3 linked regions of the Arabidopsis thaliana genome follow. The protein of the gene in region 2 interacts with the protein of the main gene of each other region in a pairwise test. Each region holds a gene or a part of one and is shown on either strand. Other genes may lie near its edges.

Region 1 (3,760 bases), on a different chromosome or scaffold from region 2:
CTGCGAGGCCACGAGGCGGTCTAAAGCCGCCCAGCTAGTAACAAAGCTAGTGTCGACCACGTTGCTGACGTGGATATTATGATTAGTGTCGGGAGAGCTTACGTGGCAGTTGTTGATTGCCTGACTGTTAGGGCTTTCGAGGTTTGGGAGTTTCATGAAAGGGTCAAGATTTAGCTCTTCTTTACAAGATCTCCCCATAAGTTCAAGAAATTGGTCGAGAGTATCCTCGTTGAAGATCTGAGATGATGTCGTCTTCGGCGTATCTCCGCCGCCGCTCAGGGAAGCTCCTCCGACGGGACTGTTTAGGGTTTTGTGAAGATTCTTCTTCTTGAAAATACGACACACCACCCATCCTTCGTCTTGTGATGCTTCCCCTATAATACTCACGACCTTAAATATTCAAAAATCAACTAAGATATATTAGCAAAGTTCATGTTTTGCACTAATCCCATTTAGGTTAAAACCAAAAAGAAAAAGAAAATTCATATTTCAGTTTCATGTGCGTCTGTATATGACAAAGGAGAAAAGAAATATTTGTGGGAAGAAGTAACTAAAACTATTATCATTAAATATTGGGAATTTAAGAAAAAAATAATAACGAAAACGAATATGTGATAGTTTTCATAATGTTATTAAAGAAAATTACGATCATACTTTGCATAAATATTGTTTTTTAAAATATATTAATTACCTTTATATATATATTAATTACATGATATTTTTTACTTGTACATCTTATCATCAGTAACAACTTTTATAATGGTCAATGAAATAATAATTAATCAAAACAAAATCGAGATTGTGATGTAAAATGAGATATTCAAAAAAGAGACCAAATCCTTTGATTGAATAACTCGTATTTAGGTTATGATGGAATTAATACATACCTCATGAACGGTGACATCCTCGGGGGAAATAATGTTGTCATCGAGTCTATATTCATGCATGATCCAATCAGATTTTTGGCCGTGAGGAGCTCGGCCTTTGTAGAAAACAAGAGTCTTTCTCATCCCAATTCTACGGCCATTGCTATATATGATCTTGTCGCGGCCAGTTGCTTTCCAAAATCCAGCCGCAGTGGCTCTGTTAGTTCTCGTTCCCGTCGGATATTTTTTGTCCTTGTGGCTAAAGAAATACCAGTCGTTTTGTGGCGTTGTTCCTATTTTACACATCTCTGCATAACGACAAAAATAATCAGAAGAAAAAAACTTAAATAGTAAATTGTATAATAACCAAACCTATGTTGGTCTTTGCAGTAACTAACTCCGAATATGAACAAACAACATCAACAACTAAGTGTAGATTCTCTGTACTCTAGTCATATTCTCGTAAAAGGATACATGAGATCACGTCATGAATCGAAAGTAGTATAGACAAGACAGCACTTTCATATATATGGAAAAATTAATAAATTCGGAAAATTGGATTATGAGAGTGTGAAAGAGAGAAAATTAATTCATAAAAAATTTCTTTATGGAAATAAACCTTGAATGTCCCAAGGCTCGAGCTTGTTGAGATCAACGTCGCGAATGACATCAAGATCGATCTCGATGCTATTAACTTTCTTCCGGAGATAATACTGCAACAGCTCTTCCTCGGTCGGATGAAACCTAAACCCAGGAGGCACTTGAGATTGTCCGTTCACTGATATGCTCATAGATTTTGACATCATCAAAGAGATTCAAGATTAACTCAAAAATCAAGCAAGAATAGAGCATGTGAGGTTTATTTAATTGTAACTATATATCATACTGAAAGTTGGAGATGAGAGAGCTAGCAGAGAATGACTCAATATATATATATATATTGTTGTATAAAAACAAGATGCATGAGGAAAACGCATGTGTCTCCTTGTACACCTTTTTTTGTTTTTCTTAATTATTAAAATTCAACTCTTATCATTAGCTTTTCCATTTGTATTCATTATTTAGTTTGAAAATTAAAATATAACCCTCCAAGAGCAATATATTAATTTCACTTGTCAATTATTAATGATTATTATTCTCTTGTTCTTTTTTCACAATTATTAGTTTCAATTTTTTTTGGCGTCTAGTTTTAAATAGTTTTGCTATTTTATTGTCATTGTAATTAGTTTAGAAATTAAAACGTGGGCCTCACTATAGTGATTTAGTTACACTTATCTTTTACAAGAACTTAAAATCATCAAATGTGACAATATCAGGCATCGTAATTATTTGTGCTAATATCAATGACATAATATCACTTGGACTATTTCAAATACGTATAATGTATGTTGTTATACATTTTTTTTAGTCTTTTCAAAGTTTAGGTTTATCTTATTCATTAATTCTTTAAACTACTAAGAACCATCGTAAACAAAATAAGTAACTTTGTGTATCTTTACATTTGCAACGAGTAAAGAATTATTGTGAAGAAAAAAAGGAAAACATAAAAAAAGTGATATATAGTTGTCGGAGAAAAAAAAGGTGATGTAGTTATCAAAAGAAAAAGAGTAGGCCCCGTAAGGCAACTAGATTGTAGGAAGCAAGCCCACATCGAACGATGACCCTTGACCTTAAAAATCTCTATAGAAAAGCTCCCTTTAAACAAATTAACAACCCACACATCGTAATAGTAATAGATTGTCTTCTTCTCTCTTTTTCTCTTCTAATTCTTGATATTTATACAAATGATATCTCTCTTTATATGCACATGCACACTGTATTTACAAAATAAAGTCGAAATAGGGTGTCTTAAAAAGTTTCCCTCCGGAAGATGTGGCTTTTTTCATCGATAAATAAACGTTTACACTACAAAAGTTTTTTTTTTTTAAACGAAAAGGTTTGATCGTTACAAAAAAACTAGTTGATGTGACAAAGAGTGTTTTTTTTTGGGATGTGACGAAAATTTATAAAAATATATTAGTAATAATGTGTATATGTTATATATGGGAAATTGTCTTCGAAAGAAAGTGGGAAATAATGCCCCAAACGGTAGATATAGTTTGGTGTTCGAGAGATGATAGAGTTGGGTAATGAGTGTTCCTGTCCCGTCTGAAATAGGATTAACAATCGATTTCACTTTTCTTAGCTAATGAAAATCTCTAGAGTTATACGTTTATTTATTTTTCAAATCTTTGCTCGATCGTTCGAGATGATTTGTAGTATGGTTAGTGCAAAACGAATGAGCCTAATTAAGGGGTGCTGTTTTTATTTTTTTAAACATTTGGTTGTTACGTTCTGTTAGAGACACTATATAAAGGTGAGACGACAGAAAGGTAACGATGACGTCAAAAACCACATAGTTTTATCATTTAGACTGTGGAATTGTATGTGTAAGTACGTGTACTTGTGTAGAAACGTAATTAAGAAAACCAAAATTAATGGAGCTAAGGAGTGTTTATGTGGTTGGAACTAAGACTTTATTTAAGATTAGTTAAGAGGCCTTTCTGCATTTGTCTAAACACAGAATCATTTTGTTGCGTTTTCGGAATTCCATGCTTTTAATCATTATTTTTTTAGTTTGATTAATGACATTGCACCCAACTTTTTTTGTGTCTTAAGTCCATGTGTTTATTGGTTGCGCTATGAAAATCCAAAGTTTCTAAGTACTATATAAAACGGGAAAACTGTAGAAATTTACAGGTCATGATTCTTTCCAGTAGCCAGTACCATGCGTTTTCTAATATATTTTGTTTGATAAAAGTTGTTTCTATTTTAAACGTAACTTTTGATTATTAAATACGGAGATAAATAGATAAACTAGTACTCAGAAAGATATATTACTTGAAGAATACATT
Region 2 (3,760 bases):
TTTTATGAGCGCTAGATATATATACCTTAAATATAAAGTTTTACAGAAATATGTATGGATCCAACTTCCAAGACAAAAAATCTCACAATGAAAAAACCAAAAAAACAATATCGACGAAATTATCAAAGTAACTAACGTTAAATCAAAATCAAATTAGATAGGATCGATAAGATATTATATATGTAAACATTTGAATTATTCTAATGAAACTGATCATAACGTGTTATATAGATTCACGTAACGCTAATAGGTCTAATATTCGATTCAGGAGATTGAATGGACGCAAGCTTCAGCTCAAGATCGAGTCCACCGGAGTTACCCGAGCCGGATACTGATACTTTCGGATCTGGATATCCAAGACGAGGATTGAGTAATCCTTGTTTCCAAACAACCTTTGAGCTCGACCCAATATGATCATTACATATCCTCTTAGTAGTACTATTTTCTTCAACATTGCCGGCCGAAACCTGTTGAATATAAAAATTTGTCAATTCAAGATTATTTTCTATTTTTTTCTTCGGATTCTACAAGAAATTATATGTTCATATATACTTGGTATTAAAATAAAGCTTAGATTAAACTTAAAATCTTGACTAATTTTTGGTTTAGAAAATTCCGATATTTTAAGTGGGAAAAAAAAACTTGGAAAGAAAACTTTTAAAACAACATAAAAATTCTGTTTGAACTTTTGAAGATGTGACTTTTGTTGGATACAGAAACATTTTGATTTAATACATAAAAGTTTGATACAAAGAGTTTAAATTCTTTTGTCATGCATGTATAGAGAAAAGATTGGAATTACTTGCCATATCAAAGAGGCTGGTGCGGCGTCTCTTGTGATGGAGAGTGGTAGTTTGCCGGAGAAAGTATTTTTGAGCATGACTTGCCACTTGTGTCGGGGATTTTGTGACGACGAAGTTTCTAGAGATTCCTCTCCAATCTCCTTTTCCAAGCTTTTCTAATCCAATTAGAAACGTCCGGTGCTCTTCCGCCGTCCATGGAACCCCTAATTACGGAAACACAAATTATTATTTTTGGAAAAACTTTTAACAAAATCCTAGGCTAAAGATCGCGTTATAGACACATCATTTTCTTGACTACTCTTATATATATAGCGGTTGCATGCTTTAGGAAATGGTCCGACTTGGATATACGTACAAAATCTTTATGGCAAAACCAATCCCACCGATGACCAGTTTAACATGTTTTGATCTCCGATACAAATCGATTATGGGCCTAATACCCGGAACTTTTGGATTAATAAAAAAACGTCACTATCCTATTGTAAAAAAAAACTCGGAAAGTGGCATAATATGTCAAAGTTGTAACCTTTTTTGCGGTCAGGTGTTTTATGGGCGAGACCATCGGAGAGATAACCAGCAAAGGAAGAGGAAGAGGAGGAACATGCCGGCAAGCAATCCATGCTGAAACTTTTCTTTATTGCAGCGGCCAAAATCGAGGGAGGAGGAGGAGGCGGCGGAGAAGAGCTTGTGGTGTCTAGATGAACACCAAAGAGCCTAACTACTCTTGTTTGGTAAGAAGAACATGTTCTTGAGTTATGTCCTACGTTTCCACAGTGTGAGCATCTTCTGCCCATTGCAATGAATGAGAAAGAGAAGGAGGGACAGCGAGATAGAGAAAGAGAGATGATGTTGATGAATGATGATGATGAAGAGAGATTTTGGGGTTTATGTAAAATGGTGGAGAGCACAGAGAAATAAGATGATTGGATAAACCAAGTTTTATTTATTGGAGGGTTTTATAATTTAAATGATGTTGTCCAAGTTGGTGTTTTCTACTTTTAGCCAATAAGAAGACAAGCTTACGTATAAAAAACAAAAGAGGAAAATATGTCTTTATAAGTGGAAATTTATCACTAATATGGACTAGCTACAAAATGTTAATTCTAATCTAATTAATTTGTCTCACAAATATGAAATATTCATTTATCTTTCACATAGTCTATATTTTGCTTCTTCTTCTCATATGTATGCTTTATAGAATAGAATGAGGTAGCCATAACAATAATGGAATCTATGTGTATTAAATAATAAAGGCTATCCTTTTGCAAAGGAAATATAAGATATATGGTTGAGAGAGAGAGGACTTGGATCCTCCAATAGTTTTGGGGAGGTGGGTAGTTGGATGACCTAATAAAAATGTGGAAAGAAACATAACAAAAATATAATTTACAAATTTGTAAAATAGAGAAACAAACAACAAAGTGGTCTTGTTTACATGAACAAAGACAAGTCTTATTTATTTCTTGTTTTTGTTTGATATAAATAATGAAATAATTTGGATCTTATAATATTTTCAATATATTAGTTGGACGGAAGAGTCATCGTATACATATTTTTATTTAAAGATTGCCTGATTTGCTCAAATATTGTAATCGATAATGTTATTAATTACTAGTAGACAAAGCACTACCCAACATGCATTTATCTATGAATTGTTTATGGTTAGAATTGGTAAAAAGCAATATGGAGATTCTATTGCTACATTCGGAATGAAGAGCAAGTATAGGAGAACAATGATGATGATTCATATTTGATCATATAAAATAATGTATAGTATGAATCTATAATGGGGGTACTCGCATTCATCATATAAATTAAAATTAACTTTAGAGTCATAGCCTACGATCATTTCTAATTTGAATACTGAATGTGGATTCATGTTGATTCTATCCCACATACATATAATATGACAAGATGGGGTATTCATGTTGATGTACTATAATAATCTATTTAATGTTGATTATATCTTCTTCTACATACATAAAGATAATATGACTGGGATTCATTTTTAAGATTCGACTAATTAAAATATATTAAATGTTGATTCATATAGGACAATGATGGGGATTCATATTTCATCACATAAATAGTATATTATTGTTGATTTGATCCTAATGGCTACTTAATTCTGGTCCAATGAAGTTTGTTTTTGGTGAGGTAGGTCAATTTGTTTTACAAAAATTTACTAAACATATTCTAAAGATGTTGCTCACTATATCATATATTATTGAAGGAAAAAAACTACCAAATTAGAACATTATGCAAATGCTCTTCATCCACAATAACAGCACACATCACATTCTTTTGATCTCTAAATCGATACTTCTCTGTTTTTCTCTGTTTTAAGAGGTGACAAAATATAATAAGTCTCTGTTTCGAGTAAGAAGTCTCACAATTACCAAAAGTTGAAGTCCACAATTTATGCAAAGACGAATTTTATGAATGAATCCATGATCAGTAATTAATCAACTTTCAGGAACACCAAACAAAGAAAAAACCAAAACCAAACAAAAATAAACAAAACTACTTTTTCTTCAAGTAGTGTTTCTCCATAGACTCGATCACTTTTGTCATCTCCTCCTCATAAGATTCGGAGTGTGCTAACACATGATCTTTCTGCTGCATTAACATCATCATTTGTTTTTGCATCTGCATTAGCATCTTTTGATTCTTTTGCACCAACGACAACACTTCACTTTGTCTCTCCATCATTGCCACTTGGCTCTGAGTAATGTCATTCAAAGAGTATAATATTTCAGCTTCTGCTTCAAAACTTTCTTCCACATTAACACTCTGAATGACAGATTCTTGAAAAGACTCTTGATCCGGTCTCATATTGTATTCATGAACCAACAAGCAATCGATAATGACATTAACAGAAAGTTTTTCTGCAACCTCCACTAAGACTTTATCGAATCTTGGAGGCAAAGAGGAAAGAATCTTCTTCACCAATATTT
Region 3 (3,760 bases), about 20 Mb from region 2:
AGCAAATCGATTCGAATGTGATGATGGGCTCTAAAGCACTTGATGTAGGCGTTGATAAATGAAAACTGTCTTCACATCTCCTTACTTTGTAAGTTCATTTAGACTAGTGCAGATAGATTTGGTATTAGTCTCTATGTATTATTCCTCACTGATGATAAAATATTCGTTTTTTGCAGGTCGGTTCGGTGAATGAGGATCATCGTTTCGTGTAAGAAATATTGTTGTAAAACTCTCTCTCTCTCTTTCTCTCGTCTGCAAGATTTAGAATCTCTGTTACTGTCACACCAATTCTTATGAACACATACATATGTACGTTTGTATACTCTATCAAGGCGTGTCTGTATATGTATATGTGCGTGTGTGTATACAAATCATATAGGCAGACCGATTCTTGGCTTTGGCCCTTATATTGAGATGACGATTCTACTTCTACATGCAAGTCTTCAATTGTTCTGTCTTTAAAACACACGTTGGGCTTGCTAATCAGCTTTCCTTTCACTACCAAAATTGGATTACACACTAGACTCTTTTCACAAAGATTCATGTCTCTCAGCATCTGACATTTGATAATGAAAACAGTCAAAAACAAAAGCTCAGAGTTTGGTGCATCCTAGATACAGATTCATCAACTCAGGCAACTCCTCTTCGTACTTGATCACGAGCTTCTCCAAGAACACTTTCTCCACTGGAACCAACAAAGACGTCAAGCTCCAATCCTCTTTCACAAGCCCGTTCGATACCAAAACCTTAGTAACCGAACACCTCGGGATAATCCTCTTCTCAAGGCTGAAGAAGAGCACCACTGGACACTGTGCGATCGATCTAGGCGCCATATTCATCTCATTCACAAAATATTCCATCGTTCTGTTAATCTTCCTCTCAGACAACATCATACAATGAGGGTGCTTCTTGAACGCACACATGATATCATCTTCCGACCATCCCCATCTCTGATAAACCTCAAAACATTTGTCCCATATCGATTTGTTTCCTTTCCCAGAGAGAGCATGAATGGCCAACACAAATGTTGATTTTTGAGGATTGAACCCCATCTCTTGAGCTTGCTTAGCAATTGCTTGGAACTCATGGTTCTTCTGCATCACAGCTTCAGGAAAATGCGTGAGAAGCAGCTTGATACATTTCTCAGGAACACCAGTCTCCGCCATATAGTTGATGTTTGGGACAAGGTTCTTAGTGTGATCCTCAAGGAAAACCCAAGTCGTCCTCCGCAACGCCGCCACAATCTTCTCATCGGAATCAAGAACGCTTTTAAGGAAATTGTAAGAAGGGATAAGCTGATTAACAAGGGATCTAGTCAAAATGGTTGGATCAGAAGCTAAAGTTCGAGCAAGTAAAGATTTTGAGACACCAATTGAGAGAAAGAAGCTGAGTTTCGGGAGGAGGACAGATTCAGCATTGGCTAATAAGAGAACAGGACGTTTCTTGACGAGAGATGAGATTTGAGCTGTGGTGAATCCATGGTCACGAAGAAGGTTGAGAACTGTGTTGGGTCGTTCTGGTGAATCTAGTAAGAGCTTACGAGAGGCTACGGTGGCGGAATCTGGAGATAGTCCACATGAGTCGATAAGGTAGTTGAGGGTGAAGGAGAGTTTTTGCTGTTGCTCATCATCTTTAGGGTTTTTGGAGGTGAGTGTGGTTACTGGAGAAGAAAATTGAGTCTGGAGAGAGAATACGAAGATTGGTTTCCGATGATGCTTAGGTAGTATGGTGGTGAAGCTTCCTCGTGGGATTAATTTCGTGAGGAAGACGAGGTTCGTAAGAGAAGTGGCTTGAGGTATTGCGACCGCCATTACTAGAGAGGGATTGCTTACTAAAAATCTCTCACTCTCACAGTACATAAACCAAATCCGAAATAATAACTAGTTTGACCCGAACCGACCCGACCGGAATTGACCGGGTTTTGTTTTTTAAACAAAGCAGAGAGTCATTTTTACTTATCTGGGCTGGCATCGCTTCGAAGAAACCGAGAGACATTTTTTTTTTTTGGAGGATCATCAAATTCAAACATCATTTCTCCGGCAAATTCGCCGTCGGAATTATCTCAGAGAGGGATTGAGCTGCGAAGGTAAACGTTTCCTGGGCTTGTATTCGTGTGTACGCTCATCAATTTTATTCTCGTGTTCGCTTTTTCTTTTGTGGTTGCAATTTTTATCCTTCGTTGTTGAAATTGGCTATCTAGTGGTGTGTGTAGTACTGTTTTCCCCAATTACTTCAAAGGAATCGAGTAGAAGCATCAAGGCTTTCATCTAATTTTATGAATAATTGGACCTGTGAAGTTGACGTCTTCTCTAGTTCTTCATTTAGTTGTTGTAAGTGTTTTTATAGCCTAATTTGATTTCCGTGGAAAGATAAACTGAAAGAAAAATCTGATTTGATTTAGGGAATGAAAACTTGGATTCGTTTGAAGTTAGTTGTAGAAAGTGTTTCTATAGGTTATTGGTGCTAATGATTCATTGCCTTTGCAGTGGTGATTTTTGTCTCTAAATGTCGAGTAGCTCGGGGAGTTTCTCGGGAAGCAGTAGCTCGGCGTGTAGTTCCAGAAGTGATTGTGAGAACTCGTTTGATGTTGAAGATCTTTTGCAGATTGGGACTACACGCAGGGAGGTAAACACTTCATTGCTATGCTCATTATAAGGTAGTTTCTGACTCTTAGATTGCTGAAGTTGATTTCTGTTTTGTTTTGTGCTCTTTGATTTGTTATTGGCAGCTAAGGAAACAAAAGGACTTGCTGAGAGAATCACAGCCCCATAGTATTGAACTAGTCAGAGTAGTCTTCTTCTCCTTGTTTAATATGAGCAATTCAGGGAAAGTATTTTCTCATTCTGTTGGTTGAGTTTTCGGACCTTAATCTTCTCTTCACCGCAGAGGTTGGAACTTCACACGAAGTCATTATCTGAATCTCGCTTAGAAGACACAGCAAGAATTCAGATGATGGAGAAAGAATTATTGAATTGCTATAAGGAAATTGGTAATTTTCTATTTAAGCCAACCAGTCTTGATTTTTCTGAACTAATAATAATATGTTTCAGCATATATTAATCTTCGCCTTGTAGATTACTTGCGGGATCAACTAATTTTCAGAAGCAAGGAAGTGAATTATCTCAATGAACATCTGCACGATCTTGAGTTCAAATTGGCTGAATCAAGGAATCTGGAAGAAGAAGTTAACTCTTTAAGAGATGAGTTGTGTATGTCTAAATCCGAGCATTTGTTGTTGTTGCAAGAACTCGAGAGCAAGGAAATAGAACTACAGTGTTCGTCTCTTACATTGGAGAAACTGGAAGAGACCATCTCGTCCTTAACATTAGAGTCCTTGTGCGAAATAGAAAGCATGAAGCTTGATATAACAGCGTTGGAGCAAGCACTCTTTGACGCTATGAAAATCCAAGAAGAAAGCATCCAAGAAAAAGATCAATTAAAAGGAATAATCGAAGAGTCCCAGTTTCAGTCTCAAAGGGCAAAAGAGAATGTCAAGTACATCGAAAAGCAAAACGAAGACCTGAGGGAGAAATTTACTGCCTCTGAAAAGAGTATCAAAGATTTCTTTCAAAGTACTAAAGAACGGTTAGAAAGTGAAGATGAACAGCCTCTAAATGCAATGTGCTTCTTCGCTGAACTGAGCCATGTGCTTCCAGTGTCTAATGAAGTTCGGTAAGCTCCAGTTTAAGGCTAATTTATTAAGTCATCAAATTGAGTTATCCCCGTCCCTAATAATGTTGGTTTTGTGTCTCACAGCAAT

What was found.
Region 1: the proteins of AT5G56840 (region 2) and NST1 interact in a two-hybrid assay, tested with the Arabidopsis thaliana proteins (one large-scale study listed by BioGRID).
Region 3: the proteins of AT5G56840 (region 2) and AT5G07900 interact in a two-hybrid assay, tested with the Arabidopsis thaliana proteins (one large-scale study listed by BioGRID).

The regions. Positions count from the first base shown.
Region 1 is NC_003071.7:19,221,151-19,224,910, forward strand, and holds the start of NST1 (NAC (No Apical Meristem) domain transcriptional regulator superfamily protein), read right to left. Parts: upstream 1,767-3,760; 5' UTR 1,673-1,766; coding exon 1,486-1,672; intron 1,175-1,485; coding exon 888-1,174; intron 391-887; coding exon 1-390. UniProt on the Arabidopsis thaliana protein: Transcription activator of genes involved in biosynthesis of secondary walls.
Region 2 is NC_003076.8:22,978,626-22,982,385, reverse strand, and holds the start of AT5G56840 (myb-like transcription factor family protein), read right to left. Parts: upstream 1,749-3,760; 5' UTR 1,598-1,748; coding exon 1,330-1,597; intron 1,007-1,329; coding exon 807-1,006; intron 468-806; coding exon 234-467; 3' UTR 1-233.
Region 3 is NC_003076.8:2,518,239-2,521,998, reverse strand, and holds AT5G07900 (Mitochondrial transcription termination factor family protein), read right to left. Parts: upstream 1,831-3,760; 5' UTR 1,812-1,830; coding exon 594-1,811; 3' UTR 453-593; downstream 1-452. Other genes in the region: AT5G07910 (Leucine-rich repeat (LRR) family protein), read left to right, coding at 1-62; AT5G07890 (myosin heavy chain-like protein), read left to right, coding at 2,506-2,625, 2,729-2,788, 2,887-2,989, 3,075-3,672, 3,757-3,760.